Neodiprion lecontei: one gene and its partner. The protein of the gene in region 1 interacts with the protein of each later gene in a pairwise test. Links are inferred from orthologs where the notes say so. Each region holds a gene or a part of one and is shown in the gene's direction. Other genes may lie near its edges. The genes, in order: RING finger protein 11 and rab5 GDP/GTP exchange factor.

Evidence for each region.
Region 2: the proteins of RING finger protein 11 (region 1) and rab5 GDP/GTP exchange factor interact in binary tests that used the Homo sapiens proteins (3 or more experiments, as listed by UniProt). The link is inferred for Neodiprion lecontei from reciprocal best matches to the Homo sapiens genes RNF11 and RABGEF1.

Annotation. Positions count from the first base shown.
Region 1 is NC_060264.1:30,664,685-30,674,717, reverse strand, and holds RING finger protein 11, read left to right. Parts: upstream 1-2,700; 5' UTR 2,701-3,365; coding exon 3,366-3,494; intron 3,495-3,722; coding exon 3,723-4,106; 3' UTR 4,107-7,256; downstream 7,257-10,033. Other genes in the region: nucleoporin Nup188, read right to left, coding at 1-39, 125-249, 329-796, 997-1,207, 1,594-1,622; tetratricopeptide repeat protein 39B, read right to left, coding at 8,102-8,261, 8,384-8,614, 8,749-9,470. UniProt on the Homo sapiens protein: Essential component of a ubiquitin-editing protein complex, comprising also TNFAIP3, ITCH and TAX1BP1, that ensures the transient nature of inflammatory signaling pathways. Promotes the association of TNFAIP3 to RIPK1 after TNF stimulation.
Region 2 is NC_060261.1:2,396,046-2,405,861, forward strand, and holds rab5 GDP/GTP exchange factor, read left to right. Parts: upstream 1-3,998; 5' UTR 3,999-4,113; exon of another isoform or gene 4,114-4,191; 5' UTR 4,192-4,218; coding exon 4,219-4,388; intron 4,389-4,567; coding exon 4,568-4,686; intron 4,687-4,909; coding exon 4,910-5,167; intron 5,168-5,244; coding exon 5,245-5,374; intron 5,375-5,534; coding exon 5,535-5,632; intron 5,633-5,708; coding exon 5,709-5,965; intron 5,966-6,073; coding exon 6,074-6,205; intron 6,206-6,273; coding exon 6,274-6,534; intron 6,535-6,671; coding exon 6,672-7,115; 3' UTR 7,116-8,213; downstream 8,214-9,816. Other genes in the region: centrosomal protein of 131 kDa, read right to left, coding at 398-536, 596-759, 845-1,016, 1,085-1,341, 1,428-1,587, 1,661-1,878, 2,004-2,445, 2,604-2,703 and 2 more. UniProt on the Homo sapiens protein: Rab effector protein acting as linker between gamma-adaptin, RAB4A or RAB5A. Involved in endocytic membrane fusion and membrane trafficking of recycling endosomes. Stimulates nucleotide exchange on RAB5A. Can act as a ubiquitin ligase.

The DNA of each region.
Region 1 (10,033 bases):
TTACTTCGCACGCCTCGAATCCAGTCCTCCATTCCGCTGCTGAAATTTAAACAATAATTATTAATTTTATAGTACTGTCGCATCTATTCCTGTCTTGATTCAATTTTCTTGATAAACAACTTACTGTTTCATTACATCCAGTCCAACGAGAAGCAACGCAGTTTGACTGAATTGTATTTGACCCAGTTTTTTTGATATTGCTGCTTTGTCTTCGTGGCTTTTTGAACTTATCAAGCGCCTGGGTTCTCCCTATAACATATCGTTCCTTCTTTTATTATTATCGATACATAATATTCAAGCTAATTTTACAGTTTGAAGTATATCTCACGCTTATGCTTCCGTAAATTTTGACAAATTCGGTATCTGCAACGTGCACGTCATTTAAAATGATTGTAAAAATGTGCAGGAGTTCTCGCATTTCAATTAGGCAGTTATTGTACAGTTTGTGAAGTTGTTCTTCGTTGAATAGCTGGGATCTAACAGGTGTGTTTATGAATTTTAAGGCTTCGATCTGCTTCTGAACTGATTTCAATAAATTCCCTAGCAAGACTTCATCAAAAAATTCCATAAACTCGTTCCTATGCGGATGTCTCTTGTTGTCCTTATATTCTACCATCAGCTTGAGACATTTTATCAGCGTCACTCGCTCCGAATAATAAAAATCCCAGATCTCCTCAATTAATGCTTTTGTTGATGTTGCATCAGCCAATTGTGACGCAAAGGTCTCTGCACAGTTTCGGTACTCGTACAACATGAAGTTACACACAAGGTCCCAAGCGATTGTTGCATCTAAATTCTGATAGCAAAATAAAAATTTTGTAATCTTTAGTCCTTATTATACTATTTCCTCAGATGGCAAAGTATGTATGTTAAAAACAGATCAACCAGTCCATGAATTGTATTCTAATCAATATCAGCCATTGTTCTTTTTAACATGTATAAAATCAAGTTAATTTGTTCGCAAAAAAGTTATTTATTAATTTTGGAAGGACTAACCAGCATTGGCGACAATTTACAAATAATCGCGAACATTCTCGGTGGAGAATTTGTGCCTTGAACTTTTTTCAGTGAAGCTTCGGTATAAGGTTTGAAAAATTCAAGACCATTTTTGAGCAACTCAGTTGCGCTCTGTATCTCATCTTTGACCAGAGCCTTGTCACACCGGCAAGTAGTCCCTGATATTACAGACCACAAGCCTTTGCAGTACCTAAAAATTGAAATTAATGAAATCAGAATATAAGAAGAAATTAAACATAATTATTATAGTAATGTTTAGACTAAATGCAGCAATCCAGCAACATAGAACGTTTTTCAACATAAAATAAAAGATCGACAGAGGTTAAGATAGATTGTACTCGATGATAGAATCTAGGTAGTAAATGACAATTTAATCATTGTTGACAATAAAGAAAAAAATAGATTTTCTTTGAACTTAAGGTGAAGTTACTGACAGTGGCTGATAGATTTTGTAAGGAAATATAACCGGCCGATCAATAGAATCTAACCTATAAAAAGAGAGCAACGACAAGTTGTTTAATTATTATGATAATCAATTAGATTAGGAGAATTGTAATGACTAGGTATAAAACTTACGGCAAGTTTCCCATTGGCGCAATGCTCATTTCGCTGAATGTTTCTTATCCAATTTCAATGAATTAAATATCGGTTGTTGTCCTTGTTTGCTTTTGAGGTTACCTTACGATATCGTCGTAAAGCTGCACATTCACAACTCACAGCACATTTGTAAACGCGAAAGGTGGTTAATTACTATTGTGCAGTTATAAAAATACTTCAAGTATTTATATACACTCACACATGTATGGCGTAATACTGTATCACAAGACCTTGTTACGGACAGTACGGAAGACGAAAAATTCTTCGCGCCGTTTTCTCTGCTAGTCCCTTAGACCGGGTTTCCATGAACGAATTCGTCATGTTAGGTGTCCGCAGCGTCCTGCCACGTACAGAAATTTTGAAAACGGCGTCAACTCTGATTCAAACTCGACTGAAACGTGGAAGACCTGTCTTTCATGCAATTTTTAGAGCTTGGAAACTTTTCGTCTCAGAATCGTTTTGCAGGACTCGTTTTCCACTAATTGGACTCTGGGGAATGCAAAAAAACATCAAAAATAGTGTAGGACCAACAGGAGAGGAATTACAAAGGAAAGTTTGCATTTTTCGACTGTAACTCTCTTACATGTGTACATCAAGTGTAGCTGGCCAGTGAGAGCGAGAGAGAGAGAAAGAGAAAGAGAGAGAGAGGAGGGTATATGTTGGTTATAATCTATTTCAATCGCTCCACACCACCTGATCCACTGATGCGTTTCCTCTTTAGCCAATCAAATGCAGAGTGAGAGAAAGAGATTGACCCTAATATACATCCTTCTCTCTTGTTACTTTGGATACATTTTTTGGGATGGGTAGCTCCCTCCAGTAGTGTATGATCTAATTGTAAAGACGTGTTTACATGGTGCTAGAAATCGGACCGATTTCTCGGACCGAGAAAAAGTTACCAGAACTCGTATCGTGTATACACCAAACTCGGACGTAAATCGTGGATTGAAAACGCGGATGAATAATGGGACGCGATCCATTTTTTCATCCGCGTTTTCGATCCACGATTTACGTCCGAGTTTGCTGTATACACGATACAAGTTCTGGTAACTTTTTCTCGGTCCGAGAAATCGGTCCGATTTCTAGCACCATGTAAACACGTCTTTAGACACTGATCACCGTGCGCGTAGCTTTGTCAAACGTGAACTTGTTCACCTTGATAGTGATGTTAGGTCAATGGTCGATTGGAAGCCCAGCTTGACCAGCTGTGGTTCGTAATTCGTAATTCGTATGTGACAGAAGATGTCGTAGTCACAACAATCGTCAGAGGCACAGAGAAGATACGTGCATGTTATACACAGGCAGAGTGGTTTGAGAGTGTGTTAACAGTCAAATAATTCATCGGAATCGGGTGAACAGGGTAAAAACTTGGTAGGAACGCGGAGTAGCTGCTCGTCGGAAACGTAGAAACAAAAGTAAAACCATGAACAATGTCCGTAAACTGGTTACATCGTAAAACTGAGAAATAATAATAATGGAGGCTCGAAAGCGTGATCTAGCTTTACCGTAACCGAGAACACACTTTTTAGATTGCGATAACGTCACGGAGGAGTCACTGACTCATAAATGTTGTTTTCTCTCTTGACGTTAACAAAGCGAAGAAGCACGTCGCTCGCCAAACGGAGCAGTTAAGGTAGAAGAAAGAAAAGCAGTGCCTAAATTTAACAGCCAAGTAATAATAAAAATACAAGAAGGAACGGGTCGTTATTTTTTTATTTAATACAAAGTACACTAATAAATAATTTATCAATATGGGCAACTGCTTAAAATGCAGTGGAGGCGGTCAACAGGACAACACGACACTGCTAAACAACAGCCCTGATCCTGCGTTGACCGGCGGTGCCTCCCAGGAGGCTCTTGGCCCTCCGCCACCTTACAATGTAATTTTAGTTTACTTCTTGATCATCCAGATTCGATAAATACAATTCTTGGCTTCGTGGATCATATAGTCTCAAGGTCACCCTAGACGTCAATTATAAACTTAATTTCATCTGTTCATACTTTGTTTCAATTCTATTCAATTCTATAGAACAATTAATGGACTTCTTCATTGTTTCATAAAGTCGTTTGAAAGTACTGATTTAGAAAAATATCTTCTTAACTTACAGGAGATAGCGAGCGCTTACTATCCGCCGATGGGAACAAGAGACCGTCATCAGCAGTTGACCGAGCTTGGAATGGGACGAGGAACAGTCGGCATGAATCCGATCGGTAGTGTCGGTTTTAGCGAGGAAGAACAACAAGTTAGAATTGCCAAACGCATCGGACTGATCCAGCATTTACCCACTGGCGAATACGACGGTTCAAAAAAAGGAGAGTGCGTTATATGCATGATGGAGTTAATTACTGGCGAGGAGGTTCGTTATCTCCCTTGTATGCATACTTATCACGCGGTATGCATAGACGACTGGTTGTTACGCTCTTTAACGTGTCCTTCTTGCATGGAACCGGTCGACGCAGCCCTCATTAATTCTTACTACGCTACAACTTAATACAAAAATTACTTGCGAGGCAAAACTATTTTTTTTTCATTCTCTCTTCAATCGTAACATCGAGATGTCAGGGAGCACGGCAAATAGACTGTCAAAATGGAAAGGGACTGCACTTATATTGTTGAAGTAAATTCTCTTTAAGAATCATTGGTTTTAACTGCAAGCTTTAAGGTCAGTGCATTTTTATCATTTCTACTTGCCTAAGGTAATTTTGATAACAGCTGTAACAACTATAACAATCAACAAATGAATTGTTTAAGTAAAAGAAGGTCATATATTTACACATAGAAGGGAGTTTAAACCATTATACGTAACTTCTGAAACGAAAATTCCATACAAGTAAATATGTTCAATAACTTTTTATTGGTACGTGACGAGCGATTGATAACTTCTATGCGAGTAACGTTTTTCGATAGATATTGGAATAAGCTTAATCTACTTAGTGTTACAATATGAAACTTGAGTATTGCGGATGTAAATCCTATAGGTGCATTTTTTTTCTTTTTTTTTTTCTCTCCTCTTAGTAACTATTGCTAATGGTAAGGAAAAGTTTGTAAGCAATATGATTTTCAATAATGATCACGATTTGAATCCAAAGTCAGACATGGTATGTAAAAAGCAATTGCGCGTCGTGGTTGAAATTTGCATTAAATCGTATGCACATGTGTGCACGGATATGTTAGAGATGTTAGAATGGAATGTTAAAAGAAAAATGAACAAACTTGGTATTTTGCCTCAAATTATATCGATACATCACGCTTGGATTTCCGATTCTTTTTTTTACTCTACCCAAAGTATATTAATATCAGTTCACAAGTGGCAGTTATTAAAGTATATTGTTACGGAAAATAATAAATGTAACATAGGAAGTTCAATACTAGATAGTAAATAATATTAATTCGTATTAAAAATCGATTTAAGACTCAGGATATCGTCTTTATATCTCTGAAACGGAAAATGTAACTGGCAAAGGCTTAGCATGTATGCATAATATTGATGAAATAGAATATGATATAATATTTCCTTGATTATGATAGTGATAATAATAATAATAATAATAATAACAATGGAGAGCAAATATGCATTAGGCTAAGATATCAAGATGGTGTATACATAGGTGATATTTTTAAACTAAATTTCAAGAGGCGAATCGACAGCCTTTTGTACATCGTTTTATTAACGTAACTACTACCGCTAGCATGATTTAGGGAGGAAACAAAATGAAAAAAGAGAAAAAAAAAAGGTGATTAATTAGTAAGAAATTTATGTTGAAACAGGATTCTGTAATAAATTAAATTTTTTACAACAATGTGTATCCTAATCAAGTGTAATTGTAATTATAATAAGCTGCATTCTGTGACCCGAATTAATTTGTGATTAGTTATTGAATTCTGGTGCTATACGTATTATCGTTTTTATTTAATATTAGTTTATGTTTTTTTTTTTTTCGGTTTCTAATTTGTAAACTATAATTGATCGAACGTTTATTATTGGACTAGACACTAATAATTACTTGAAATTAAAAACACAAAGAAAAAAAAAAAAAAAGTAAAAAAAGTGCGACATCATTACGAAGAACGAAATTTTTCTTACGTAAGAAAGTAGATAAATATTACACATAAGTATGTATAGAGTAGATGCCGTCAAATTACATACTGTATAAATAACAAAACATAGTATCGTACTGACCTAAATATAATAGAATAGTAAAAATTACTATAAACTTTTGAAATAGCTATATTATAGCTTGCTAATAAATAAAAAATTATATATAAAATTATATACATATATATTTTTAAATAAATGGGGTTAAATCTGATAATACTGGTAATACCAACAACAATAATAGTAATAATGAATATCTTCGAGTATATAATTTGGTAATAAAAATACCTGTAAAAGACGTTATAATAAATCATGTGTGTATATAATAAATGCATACGTGATATTCGTAAATTGAGAGAAGGTAATAATAAATTCCATCTACACATACATATATGCATACATACATACACACATGCATATATATATATCATCTTTGGTTGTAATTCTTTTGTTCCTTAAACGTCAAGTTCCATTCAAATTCATCTATAATTGTGATTTGCATTGTGATGAATATACTTTAATCCTTTCACTTTATGTTACTCATTCTTTTTTGTGCTTAATTTATTTATTATTGCCCCGAATTTATTATTTGCAATTTTTGCAGCCTTTAAGCGTGTTTCAAAAGGTTTCAAAAGCTGTTTGACTGTTTGAAAGGAAGATGAAACGGAATTCGAGAAAGTAAAATAAAATTTGTAATACTTCATACAATGGTTTCCTTACTCTCTGCAAAAAGCCTGATTTCCTTGCTCTTGTTCTATCTCCTTAAATTTCTTTGATCCATCACACAAAATTCTCACATATCGATACTTCAAGACCTTTTTGATCATTTTTACCTTGCGAGGAGTTTGTAAAGTAAGAACTATTCAACATAAAAATTAAGTTGCATTAAACGAAGAATAAAGGAAAAAATGCTAATAATAACAATAATAACAATGGTCATAAAGATATCTTCAATATTGTTTTATAATAACGAACGTACAGTGACCCAATAAAATTTGCATATATAATTTATACGAGATCACAACAAGTAATACGCATTCAATGCGTATCAGGGATCCATATGTATAGCAATAAATACATCTCTAAGAATCTATTAAATTATTAAATTATTCTACCTAAACATTCTCTAGAAAAATATTTCGTTTCGTGTACAAAAATTTTTTCTCACATTCATTATATATTTATATTCATAAAGGATCGTTTGGAGATCGCGATATTCAAATTCGCTATTCTCACGATCACGGCTTCAATGCGCATCTAATTATCTAACAATTGTTAATTGAATAATCGTCCATATTTCTCAGTTGGAGATGTATTAGTGATGTTGTTTGTTTCTTAAATTATTTGGGAACGATTTACTGTACGAAGAATTAATAGAAAAATATCTTACAAAAACAACCTCAGCTGAAGATATATTGACGATGTTATTTGTCCGTTCAAATATTTGAGATCGATTTACTCTTCGTAGAATTAATAGAAAAACATCGTCGTTTAACATTCCAATTATTTGGAGTAAATAATTCTGTAAATAAACTAGATTAACATTGCAAAAAAAAAAGATTGCATAAACGTTATGAAGATCCGACACCTACATAAAATTGAAACGGCATAACAATAACAAAACTAATAAATTGAATAAATAACTAATTTTTCTCTTTTATCTGTGTAAAATAAATAATCAGCGATTCCGTTAGCTGCAGAAAATAGATACCAAAATCTAGAAAACCACATCCTGTTACACCAAAAACTAACTTATAGTAATTACATTATAATATTTAGCTCAAGGTTGAGGCGAAACTTAGGCTTTTTTTTTCTTGTGTGTAGGAACAAGTACGAACTATTCTATTGTTCACTTATATTTTTTTCTGTAAATTAATAACGAACTGTTGAATTTAATTTAAATTACAGCTATTTACCACTTTTTTCTACATATTTAGAATTAATTATATTCTAACTGTATTTGTACATGCAACACATCTGGCATATGTTTGCCCCATCGGTCATAAAACTTTTACAAAGTTCCCACGAAATCTACGCCTAAAAGCCTTCAACTATCTCGGGGAAATATGTATCTCCATGTACATCGCATCTACGCGGATTTTGCTTCAACCTGCATTTCTTTCCTTAGTATACTTTCTTCAATCGTTCTTGCTAGCCAAAGAATATCACCAATTCTGTTATAAGAGAGAATTATGAGTATAGAGAGAATAAGTTGGATAAACATCAACCGACGGAAAACAAGTGGAAGATTATCAAATTAATCGATAGTATCAGTAATCTTACACTAATAGTACGGCAGTTAACGAATTGAGAAGTTTCAATCGTTAATTGCAGTTATAATAATCGATGAATAAATTTTTAATAACAACCTTCTAGTGTATTAGGGACGTTTATAAATATGTAGATGTGCTAGCATCAGTTTCCTCTTCGCTGTTACCGTTTTCAGAAACCCCTATAATTTCTTCAGGTTTTTTACCAGTAAGTTCAAGCAGAGCGGAATGGATTCTGAAGTGAAGTCTCGACTCCAAAGAATAACCCGTGTAGTTTTTTCTGCAAGAAAATGAGAGAATAATGTGAAAAACAAGGAACAGTGACTAAATTTCATTTTTAACGGAGGAAAGAAACAAAAAACAGAACTGAATTAAACTCAGGGTAGTATAAATTACACGCACTTTGTATCCTCCAGAAGCGCAATGGCTAACTGCGGCTTGTCTTGATCCCTAGCTAGTAAGGCGAGCTCAACAGCTGCGAATGGAAGCAGATAAGTATCTTCCTTGATTTGCTTATCGAGGCGCAACACCTTCCGCAAACATTCTTCAGCCTGAAGGGGTTTGCGTATGTGCCGCAGGCAAGTTCCTTTCAGCAACAAAATGAGACCTTCGTTGTCCGCTTGGTAATCAGATCTTGTCGGAAAAGATGAAAGAATTTGCGATATTTTGTAGAAAAAATTTGAAATGAATAGTAAAATTTCGTCCGTAGATAAGCGAAGAAAGGCTGTGATTGAAAAAAATTATTGAAGTAGTTTAAATATACTAACGGTTGAAGTTTCAACGAAGTCTCCTCTTCCTCGGCGAGTTTGAATATATTCAAAAGTAGGTCAGGCCGAGTTCCCAACACCTTGAACATGTTCCAAACGAGAAGAAGCTCGAAAGTAGGTAAAACCAGGGATTCATTCTGAGCGAAAAATCGTCCTGCCTTTCTTATAACGAATTTTTCCATCGGCAACGATTTGCCGGCGATGCGTTGCTTGTGGATCGGCACCTCAGTCATCAATTCTCTGATCATATCTTTTGCCTTTTCGTCTTCCCTATCCTTCTTCATCATTAGAATTGCCGCCTTTTGATACATGTATATAGTTTTGGACCAGTTCGATTCAGCCTCCAAATGATTGGCGTAAATTAAGGCGTCGTCCCACTGCCTCTGCAGACAGTGAGCCCACATCAATTCCCAGTAACAAAGATGGTGGAACTGGGGCCATATCGCCTGACTCTTCCACGATTTTGTGTACCACTGTACAGCTTCTTCGACGTTCCCTTTTACCAGCTCCAATCTTCCTTTGAAGAAGAGAAACCAAGCTCCGTTCGGATAGAGCATCAATTCCTCATCCAGAGTCGACTCGCACCACTTCAAATCGCTTCTCGAGTCAGAGAGAACGTACATCACTATCAAGTTAAAGGAGAGTAAAGTCAACGCGCAAAGCACCTGACGAAGGCCGTTCGGCTCTCTGTAGCCAGCTTCAAGTTGCTCAAGTCCAAAGGCCTGCGTATGGTTAAATCATTTGTTGAATTATTTCAGTCTCGACCTTGTCTTGAGTAATATGTGTAGAAATTGTCGATGTCGAACGTCAATTGAATGGAAAGTCAAAATTTGACGTTTCGGCCCTGGAGAGGACCCTCTTCAGAAAACTAAAAAGGTTTTCGTTATTAAATAAATATAACATGACTACAGTCACAGCGAGATATTAATTAACAGAAGTGAAACTTTTATAATTAAAGAAAAACAAAAAAGAAATACGCAGCAGCAGTAAAAATTTATTTAAAAATCCATAATAAAGACAATTCTCCATTAGATTGATGAATAATTACTTTTGCTGTGGATTTTTAAATAAATTTCTATCGCTGCTGCGTTTCTGTTTTTTGTTTCCATTATAAAAGTTTCACATCTGATGCGAGGTTTCACAAGTAATTAAATGTAATTTTTACTCTAATATTTTTTACATAAATTAATATCTCACTGTAACTATAGTCATGTTACCTTAATTTTAACAATAAAAACACTTGTAGTTTTCTGAGGAGGCCCCTCCTCAGGGCCAAAACGTCAAA
Region 2 (9,816 bases), on another chromosome or scaffold:
TTGTTTTCAGTGATGAAGAGCGTTAAATAAATATGGGCTGGTACTAAAAATTAAAGCCTACATCTGCATTTTTCTCCACAATTTCTCAGTTCGACTCTTGAAATTATTGTGTAGTATGTAGCTTATTGTAAACGCATTTAAAAAATAAGAAATTGTCGAAGTATAAACTTATATTACAGATAATACAGTTATAAACAACGAAGGTATATTTCCTGCAATGTCTGTGTTAAATAGGCGTGTTTCAAATGCAGTTAATTCAAAATATCGCGTAGGATTGGGTGCTTGCCTAGACTGAGAAATGCTTGTTACGAAAAAACTTACATTTAAAACAACTTAAACCTGTAGCGCAGTGATGTGCGAGGGTTAAAATTAAAACATATTTATTTACACTTAATATCTATAAAGACTGAAGTATGTAATCCTTCCTCTGTTGATCTAATAATTTTTCCAGATGATCGCATCTCTTCTTTGCTTCATCAATCTCTTTGGCGAATTTCCCTATTGCCAGATCCTTTTGCGTTACTATTAACTTGACCCTACAACAATGAACATGAATGAATATCGGATAAAGTCGATAGAATTAACTATTCCTTACCTGCTATAAAGTTGAGCCATTTGAACATCTCTATTAGAATTATTTTCAGTAAGTTCGCGGTGAAGAGAGGCTATTTTATTCTCCAGTTCTCGTTTTTCCATCTCAATTTCCTTCCTAACAATCTTCTTTGCATCGTCTCTCTCAATCGTCAATTGATCTACGCTCTTGTTGAGAACGAATAAGAATTGTTTGTATTGAGTGCTTATCATATTCCACAACTGATTTCGACAATAACATTACACCTCATACCTGTTTAGAATTACTTAGCTGGATCATACACTGCTGAAGTTTTCCCTCAGTTATTTGAAGCTGCGTCGTAGTCTCTGTGAGGCGTTCCTGCACGGAGGTCACTTTACTTGTCAGCAATTCTTTGCTGTTATTCAAGTCTTGTAGCTCTGCCTCATATTTTTCTTTCATACATCTTGAACAATTTTAAAAGTTATTTAAAGTGGGTAACAATCAACGTGTATGAATGGGCACATTTAGTACCTGAGCCGGTTTTCCGAACTTTGCTGAAGACTAGTTTTCATGTCAAGAGTTTCCTTCTCGAGCCTTTCAATAGCCAGTTCTATTTGTCTGTCACGCTCTCGATTGCACTCATCTCTCAGCCGTGTTTCCATTTTTTCTAATTTCATATTGTGCTGTCTCCTGCAGTTTTCCATCCATGTCTCTTGTTCGACCCTAAGTGATTCTTGAACAGCTTTTTTCTCGATCTGATGCTGTCGTATTAAAGTATTGATTTTTTCCTGTAAACGATTGGGTTCCCGTTATTATTCTCATGCATCGTTGCTTGGTATAAGTCATTATTAGTTTCAGTATGACCTGAACGTACATTGAATTGTGAACGTGCTTGACTTATCGCAGCATCTCTCTCAGCATTGAGTCGTTTATGTTCTTGAGCTAGCAGATTTTTTTCACGTTCAAGATCGTCCAGCAGTTTGCGCCGCTGTTCTTGAAATAAATTCTCTTGCTGTTCTAGTTTCTCCTGATACCTGTGAATGTTATCAGACGGAATCTTTTATTGGTATCTAAGTAAGCTGCGTGATGTCTGAACATACATTGTACCTTGTTCTGAGAATATCTTTTTCGCTACTCAATAACTTTTCATGGCTCGCAGTTAGCTCAAGACGCAACTGCTCCAGCTGTTGATTTGAGCGGCGAATTGTCCGCAGCTCGGTATCCTGAAGCTCTTTGATGTGAGCACTGCGTATTTCTTGAAGCTCCTGCTGATGCTGCTCTACCATACTTCGCAGTTCTGGCTCTAGCCCCTTCACAGTCATTTCCTGAACAAGTAAAATGGAACAATTTGACTAGAGATTCGATACTAACATTTTTTTACCAACACATGTTTATATATTGATTGTGAGATAAAAGTTAGTTGTTCCACAAGCGTACATCTGATTAGCACCTTTATTTTAGAAGTTTTTGCTTCTAGCCAACGTTCGCGTCTGATCTTTTCAGAAGCGGCACAAAGTTCTCTAGCTCGTCGGAGTTCCACCGCGTGTCTATCAGCCACAACTTTTAACTCCCGATGATATTTCACTTCCATTTCTTTGATATGCTCAGTCAAGGAGTTGCATTTCTCAGTCAAATTTTTCTTATCTGATATTATTTGCTCGATAAATTTCTGATGCCTCTTTATCGTCGTCTGATATTTTGTCTTCTGAGTCTGCAGCTCAGTGCAATGCTGCTTTTTTTGCAATTCTAGCTTCTCGCAAGCAGAATGCCTTTGTGATTTTAATTCATTTTTTAAAATTTTTAAAGTCTCATCCCGTTCTTCCAATTGCAACCTAAGAGTCGCTAAATCGTCCTTTATCGTTTCAGGTATATGGGTTTGTGCGGGATGAATTCTGCAAGAAACATAAAACATTACCAACGGGATTCACACAAATCACACCTCGGTGCGAAAATCTTTGCACTCGCAAATAGCACTGCCTCCATATGAAATACTATACAATGCATATGCTAAAAACACAAATTCATACAAATTTTTGATGACCAATCTTACCCTTGATTGTTACAGTATGGAATAGATCGACTATTCAGTGTTGCTTCAATAATCTTTGAATGCGCGTAAGCTCGATTGTTTGGAACATCTTCTAGGTATCCTAGAAAGAAATGTAAAAATTCAACAGCTAAAGAGTTGCAGTATTCCCGTCATACCTTATACCATCACTGTCAGAGTCGCATATTTTACCTTCGTGGTTCAAAATCCCTAACAGGGACATGATGTCCTCGTAAGTTGACAGAGAAGACCCGCATGATTGATTGGAGTAATCTTTCTCCGGTTGAAGCTAATTGGGGAAGAAATTGTGATCAAAAGGTGTAAAAGCTAGCAGCAGTGTTTAAGCGCTCTAAATTCTGGAAATACAAGATATTTTCTCGAGCAATCGATACTTGCCTGATTGATGGAATAGTCTTGATCGTTTCCATAAAAGTGGCCCCCTTCGTTATTGACAAAACTTCCAGTAGTATTTGAATCGATATTCAGTTGTGCTTCATTTCCAGATAAATTTTTTTCCAAATCATTGATCATCGAGCAAAGCTGATCGAAGGAGCAAGAATTTGGCTCGATGACATTCTGATTAAAATCACTAGTAGTTTGCAGCTTTTTTAAGTCGTATCCAATGTTTTCAATCATAGCATTAATCTGATTGGGATGGGTCTCTGCTTCTTTCAGGTATTCGCCTTTTTTGGAATCCAGTCCTCCGTTAGTTTCGCAGAATCTTGACGGGTTTGAATTCCGTACGCGGTCTTCTGCGGAATTGCACCTCTGCATGGGCAAGCCATGTGCCATTCCGTTATCGGACATGGCAAAGTTACTAATCGGGGGCTTAGTGACAACCCTTGGATGCTGTATGTTGATCATTTCTTGCCATTTGCATTGTAATTAATTAAGGATTCCTTATACACTGACCACAACGTTCATTGAAACGTCAAGCCTTCGCTCGAAATTTCGTATGACGCGGTTGCTATGGAAACGCGAATGTCGCTCTTATTGCAGATGGCGTTTCAAGTATTGACTTCTTGTTGGTATAGTTCAGTGCTTAGAATTGACATAGAACTTCAACTGCATTTTACACAGAGAGGGTGGTCAACTTTGTACACCATTCATGAATATTGACTCACTTCACATGAGTTTCACAAGGAAGCAGAAGAAGAATCAAAGATGAGTTGCGAGATGACCAGCGCCTCCAAAAGACGTTTGACAAAATTAAACCAAACTACGGCCTTGCTCGGAGCAATGTAAATAAATTAATAGCACGACATTATCTGCAGCGTGCCGAAATCGATATTCTGTTACCGACCGCGACGCACGCTTCAGATAATGTCGCGCTACTACTCTATTCACACTGCGCCACGCAGAGACGTAGTTCAGTTTAATTTCGTAAACCAGGTTTTTGGGGGCGTTGGTCATTTCTCAACTTATCTTTGCCGTAGTTAGACTCTTCTGACGTGCTTGTGACGGACAGTCGATTTTTGACAGCTCACGTGAAGAGGTTATGTTCTCCTCGTAGGTAGGGGTTCAATTGTTTGCATTTCGCTTATTACGCAAATGCGTTAAGTAACCAAATTTGAAAACTTACTGCACCCAGTTGGAGTTTTACTCTCCAATTATCGACATGTACTCGATCAAGACGCCGACTCTCCGCATTGACGAGGCCGATTTAAAGTGCAAAAATGGTTGTGGATATTTTGGAAACGAAGAATGGCAAGGCTACTGTAGCAAATGTCACAGAGAACATTTGCAAAAGCAACGGGCTCAAAGAGAACACGCCCGCATTCACGAAAGGTATTTATTATACCAGTGCAACAATTCACTGACACATTGTAACATGCTATCAATCAAATGAATCATTCCAGGTATAACTACCGACACTACTTTCTATTGATAAGCCCTTTATTGATTAGGTCAATATTACTGGTAACGAATAATTGTTCGAACTGCGTTATATATTTACATTTTTTCAGTGATTCAAGCTCTAAGACTACCGTGCACGGTTTTTACAAATTTGAAGAAAAGAAGCGACAGCAAGAAAAGAAAACTAAACTATTAAAGCTGTCAGTCTTTCGCAAGACCGCAACGAAAAGTATGTCCTTATTTTAATGTCTCACATTTTATTTTCATTCTATGATACATCATTCTTAATTACGTTTCATCGATCTTTCAACTAAAGCAGAAACCTAATTATATAATAACAACCATAATAATATACTTCTAGACAACTGGTAAAGTTTTGGTGTTTCCATTCTTTCCTGTCATTCATTTTGATAAGATGTGAAACGTCATGATGGAAATATTCCTTATTTAAGCTCAAGGTTTTAGCGAGATATGGCAGGAGCTGGTTAAGGATAATCCTGAACTTGACAAAGTGAAATCGGAGACCCGTGACCTTCTGGTACAGATCGCTAAGACTCCGGCTGAGAAAGATGTACGAAAGTGTATTCATTCCTTCGTAAACAACATCTTACAAATGAAGGATATTAAGAGCGTTGAGGAGCTATCCGAACTAACTCAGAACTTCTATCAAGTATTTGCCAAGCGAATGGAAAACAGTCCCAATTATGCAGGTAATATTGCACTCTTGGTTATTCATGCGTAGGATATTCACAGAACTGCAGTAATCTCTATTATTATTAATTTTTAGATGTTTCTCCAGAAACAAAAGATCGACTACTAGACTACATCGAAAGATACACTATGACCTTACTCTATAGGATACTTTTCTGCCCGCCATCAACTACAGATGAGGACAAGGACCTTGCTATTCAAAACAGGTAACATCTCAGTTTTCCAATTCAGAGAATGGATGGAAACAGATAAGGTGAAAAATATGCTCAGTCAGTAACATCTTTCTAAACCAATCAAATCTGGTCAAGATTAATTTGATTTATGAATCAAGCTCGAGAATTTTTCTAATCAATCAGGAAATTTTAGAATACGGCAGTTGAATTGGGTGAGCGGAAAGAATCTGGAGTGTCGAATCCACGAAACTAGTTCTGACGTGAGAGAGCTTGTTTACACCTCAATAACAGGTAAAACAATCAAACTTCAAAGCTCAATCGGTCTGATTAATTTCACATAAATGTAACATAGTAACAATTGTTTCAGATTTATTAAATATGGACTCTGTAAAAGCACCGCAAGAGAAGCTTGCCTGTGTTGTTCATTGTTGTAGAAATATATTTGTACTACTGCAACAATCTGTTGGGGGTCCAGCTTCAGCCGATGAATTTTTACCGGCGCTTATATTCATTGTGCTGAAAGCTAATCCTGCAAGATTGAAAAGCAACATAAATTTCATCACCCGATTCTGTAATGCTAGCAGATTAATGACTGGTGAAGGAGGTTACTACTTCACAAATTTGGTATTAGTTCTACTCTGGGCTACGAAGAACCGCACAACTCAAAGCAATGAATATAAAATTTGCTGAAATCCATGCCTTCAAGAAATTTTATTCCCAATTTTGTTCCAGTGTTGCGCAGTATCCTTCATAGAAAATCTTACTGCCGAGTCATTAAACATGCCTCAGAAAGATTTCGATGCATATATGTCAGGAGCACGCGTTCCAGCGAGCACATGGGAATCTGCTCTCACTATGTGCGAGGTAATGATGAATACATCGTTGAAGAATAATTCCAACACTCTCATAGCTTACAGATTTTTATAATTTAGAGTATACACCTGATGTGCGAACACATAACACTGCTGGATGAATTGAAAGCGAAAAATTTGGAAATCATAGCAGAATCCGATGAGCTTAAGAAAAAAATGCAACAATTCCCAGAAAAAGTTGAGGCGGAAGTTGACGCTGCGATAACTCGCACTCCCCTTATTATCACGCCGAGTCAAAGGATACCGACTAATCTTGACTGCGTTGATGCAGAGAGCTACCAGCTACCACCACCAATTATACCACAAGTACAAAATATTGATGTAAAATCATTTGTTCCAAATTTAATATCAACTTATATCTGTAATATGAAATGCTGAAAATTTCTGTGAACTTACTTTCTATTTGCGAATACTTTTTAATCCTCACAACATTACTTTATCGCAGTATTCATCCACAGATTTACCCTCAAACCCTGAACGACGAAACAAATGAAACACTGACATCTCACGTTGGTGATTACAACGGACCTTCGATCGAGGATTGCATAACACCATCTCCAACTTTTGATTTCCCAGCCTTTGACTCAGATGGTGGTTTGCATGGAAGTAAAGGGGATGACGATACCAGCCTAATTAGCTTGGATACACAATGCGATCTTACAGCAGAAGAATCGTATCTACAAGACAGAGACGCCTCTGATAGTTTGCTAGACGAATCGCAAGCATCGGGCACTAATTTACCATCGCCTCTAAAACCAGTTTGTTCTCTACGTGAAGATTACCATGGATTCTCAATCCAAGGTTCTAACATTCCCACGATCCCGTGCAACACTGGTGATCTTTCTCACAACACTTCGGACTTGGAGGCAGATAACTATTCTGGCTACTTTCACAACATTTGAACGATTTGCAATTTAAACATACACTTGATTAATTTCAACCATAACATATATATCTAGATATGCACATTCATACATACCATACATATAGATATATATACACATACATATAGGTATATATACACATACATATAGGTATGTATACAGTAGTATGCAGGAATTAAGATGTAACTTGCATCTTATCTAGTCAGCTTCGAAGGATTGGATCGTGTCTTGTATCGATGGCGAGGTAACGTCTGAGATTATCGCTTTGTTATTCAAGATCCAATGAAATCAGCAATATTTCTAATATAACTTACAAATCAGATGCTGGATTAAAAACTATAGGTTTCAAGCTAGGATATTTGCACTGCTATGCTTACAATTATCTTATAGATTCTGCTACAGTGAAAAGTGAAAAAATGACAAGTAGGTGCTACGTTACCAAGACACTGCATCAAAAGTGATCAGTATACATTCTGGAGTAGATCATCATGTAAGTAGGCTATAATCTGAATTTAGATATAAATATTTACCATTTTGTAGCTACAGTTGTCATCATTTTCTCCAATTTGTGAGTTGACCACATTTTTATATACATCACAATTTCAGTGCATGTCAAAAAAACTGATATTCCAAACTTATATGAATATATAATTGCTAATGCCGTACTTTAATAAATTCAATTATAATCAACTAGGTGGTAGTCATTTGTAAACATTAATTATTTTCATATCGGTTTAACGATCAACCTTTGTCACTCACACTCAATTTGATTTCAGAGATACTGCACTAGACTAAGTGAGCGAATTGTGTCAGTCATCATTTTTCTTTTAATCCGATAGGTCCATCCTGACTAACAATAATATATATTTAAATGAATTTGTCTTGATATGAGGTAAAAAATATATTTTCATTAGAATTATAACGAAAACTAATATTGGTTATTGTAATTGGCACTTTTAATCGAAACTTATATTCACTATACATGGGTATACAAAGAGTGTATGAAAATAATTTTAAGGCCTGTACAAATAAATTCACGTATCGTATGAAATTTATTTATAGTGGTGTAAACCAAAAATGAAGTATAAAGTCAATACATGTGGTTGGAATACAGAATTTCGGCAGAATTTATTGTTAGTATGATATATAGCAACATTGAATTAGTGAATTGTGCAAATCGTGTTTTTTTTTTTTGTACATCACATTGACTAACTGATATCAATTACATATTTGGTCTCAAAGTCTGATTAGAATTCAAATTTTTTAATCTCTTACGGGCAGCTAGTTACCGGATTATAAACGTGACAAAAGTTAAATATATATAAACTATTTGTTAAACTATGATTGTACAGAAACCTAAAGAAGTGTGTTTGGAATGTGAAAAATATGTGCTACCTCACGCAAAGATTTTCTTAATTATTGAAAGCCAATGATACAAATAAGTTTGTACTTGGAGAAATTCTGTTATAGAACCATTTTATTACCTAATATCAGTTAAAGTTCTGTTTTCGGTATAAGTTTCACATTTTTTCACAAAGCCCGTTAAAGTGTGTCAAATATTTTTAATGCAGTTTGAGTTTATTTTTTAATTGGTGAACTTACAATATTTACAATTATCAAACATAATATCATCGTTGATACATAAGAAATAAGTCTTTATGCCAGAGAGTGTAGACAGTGTTAGTGTTAGTGTTAGTGTGTTATAATTTTTATATATTCATATTTATTCTCATCTCAACTACCAACTGATTGCCGGTAAGTAAAACTGAATCTTATATAAAAGTTACAAAAGTATTGCAATCAGTGAAAAAGTATACTATATTATTGCAGAGTAATGAATGAAAATTCCATATCTATAATATCCTCAAAGTGTAATAAAGACACAATAAAGTGTTACAGAGTTATAAAACGAGCGAAGAATTTCAGTATTCTGCAATAACATATTTGAATATCTAGAGTTCATACTAAAAAAAATACCTACAAGATCTATGTAATCGCATTATCACTAAAATCTACCCTGTTTCATTAGGTTATCAATCTATCTAATTATAAATAGTATTACAAGATATTGATTCATTTTTAACAGTAGTCGGTGAATAGAAAAATAATTACATAACGTAACGAATAAAGTACAATAAGCCTTGTTTTACACTTTCGTAGAAAGTTACTACTTTTACATTAAAAATCTATAGTATTTTCTATACCTTCGTCGAGTATAGAATATGCCCATTCGCGTCTATCTACTTTCTATATCTACACAAGTTTACTGGGCAAAACGAACTGGGGATGCCAAATGAAATATAAATGAGACGAAGGTCTTATCGTACATATAAATACTCCTGTCTCATTTATATTTGATCCAAACACTGCTGGAATTATGTGCAACAAGCATTTCCTAAAGTTGCGCTTATTAATTAAATAATGTCACACACTATTTTGTACCTAGAAACTGCTACAGTCGGCTAAAATATAGGTAGACTTGCTTCTATGATTATACATTGCACTTAATTACGTTTACATCTATTGATGTAAATTTCATCACAAGAACTACAATGTGCCTGACTGCAACTGAATTTTTTTATCGTAACAAGTTTCTACTTAAATCAGGAATTAATATTTCTCCACTTATGCATAGTGGATTTAAGCATTCTATACCATGTTATTTTCAAATTTACAATTTGGTAAAATTTTAACCATGAATTTTATGTATTTATACTTT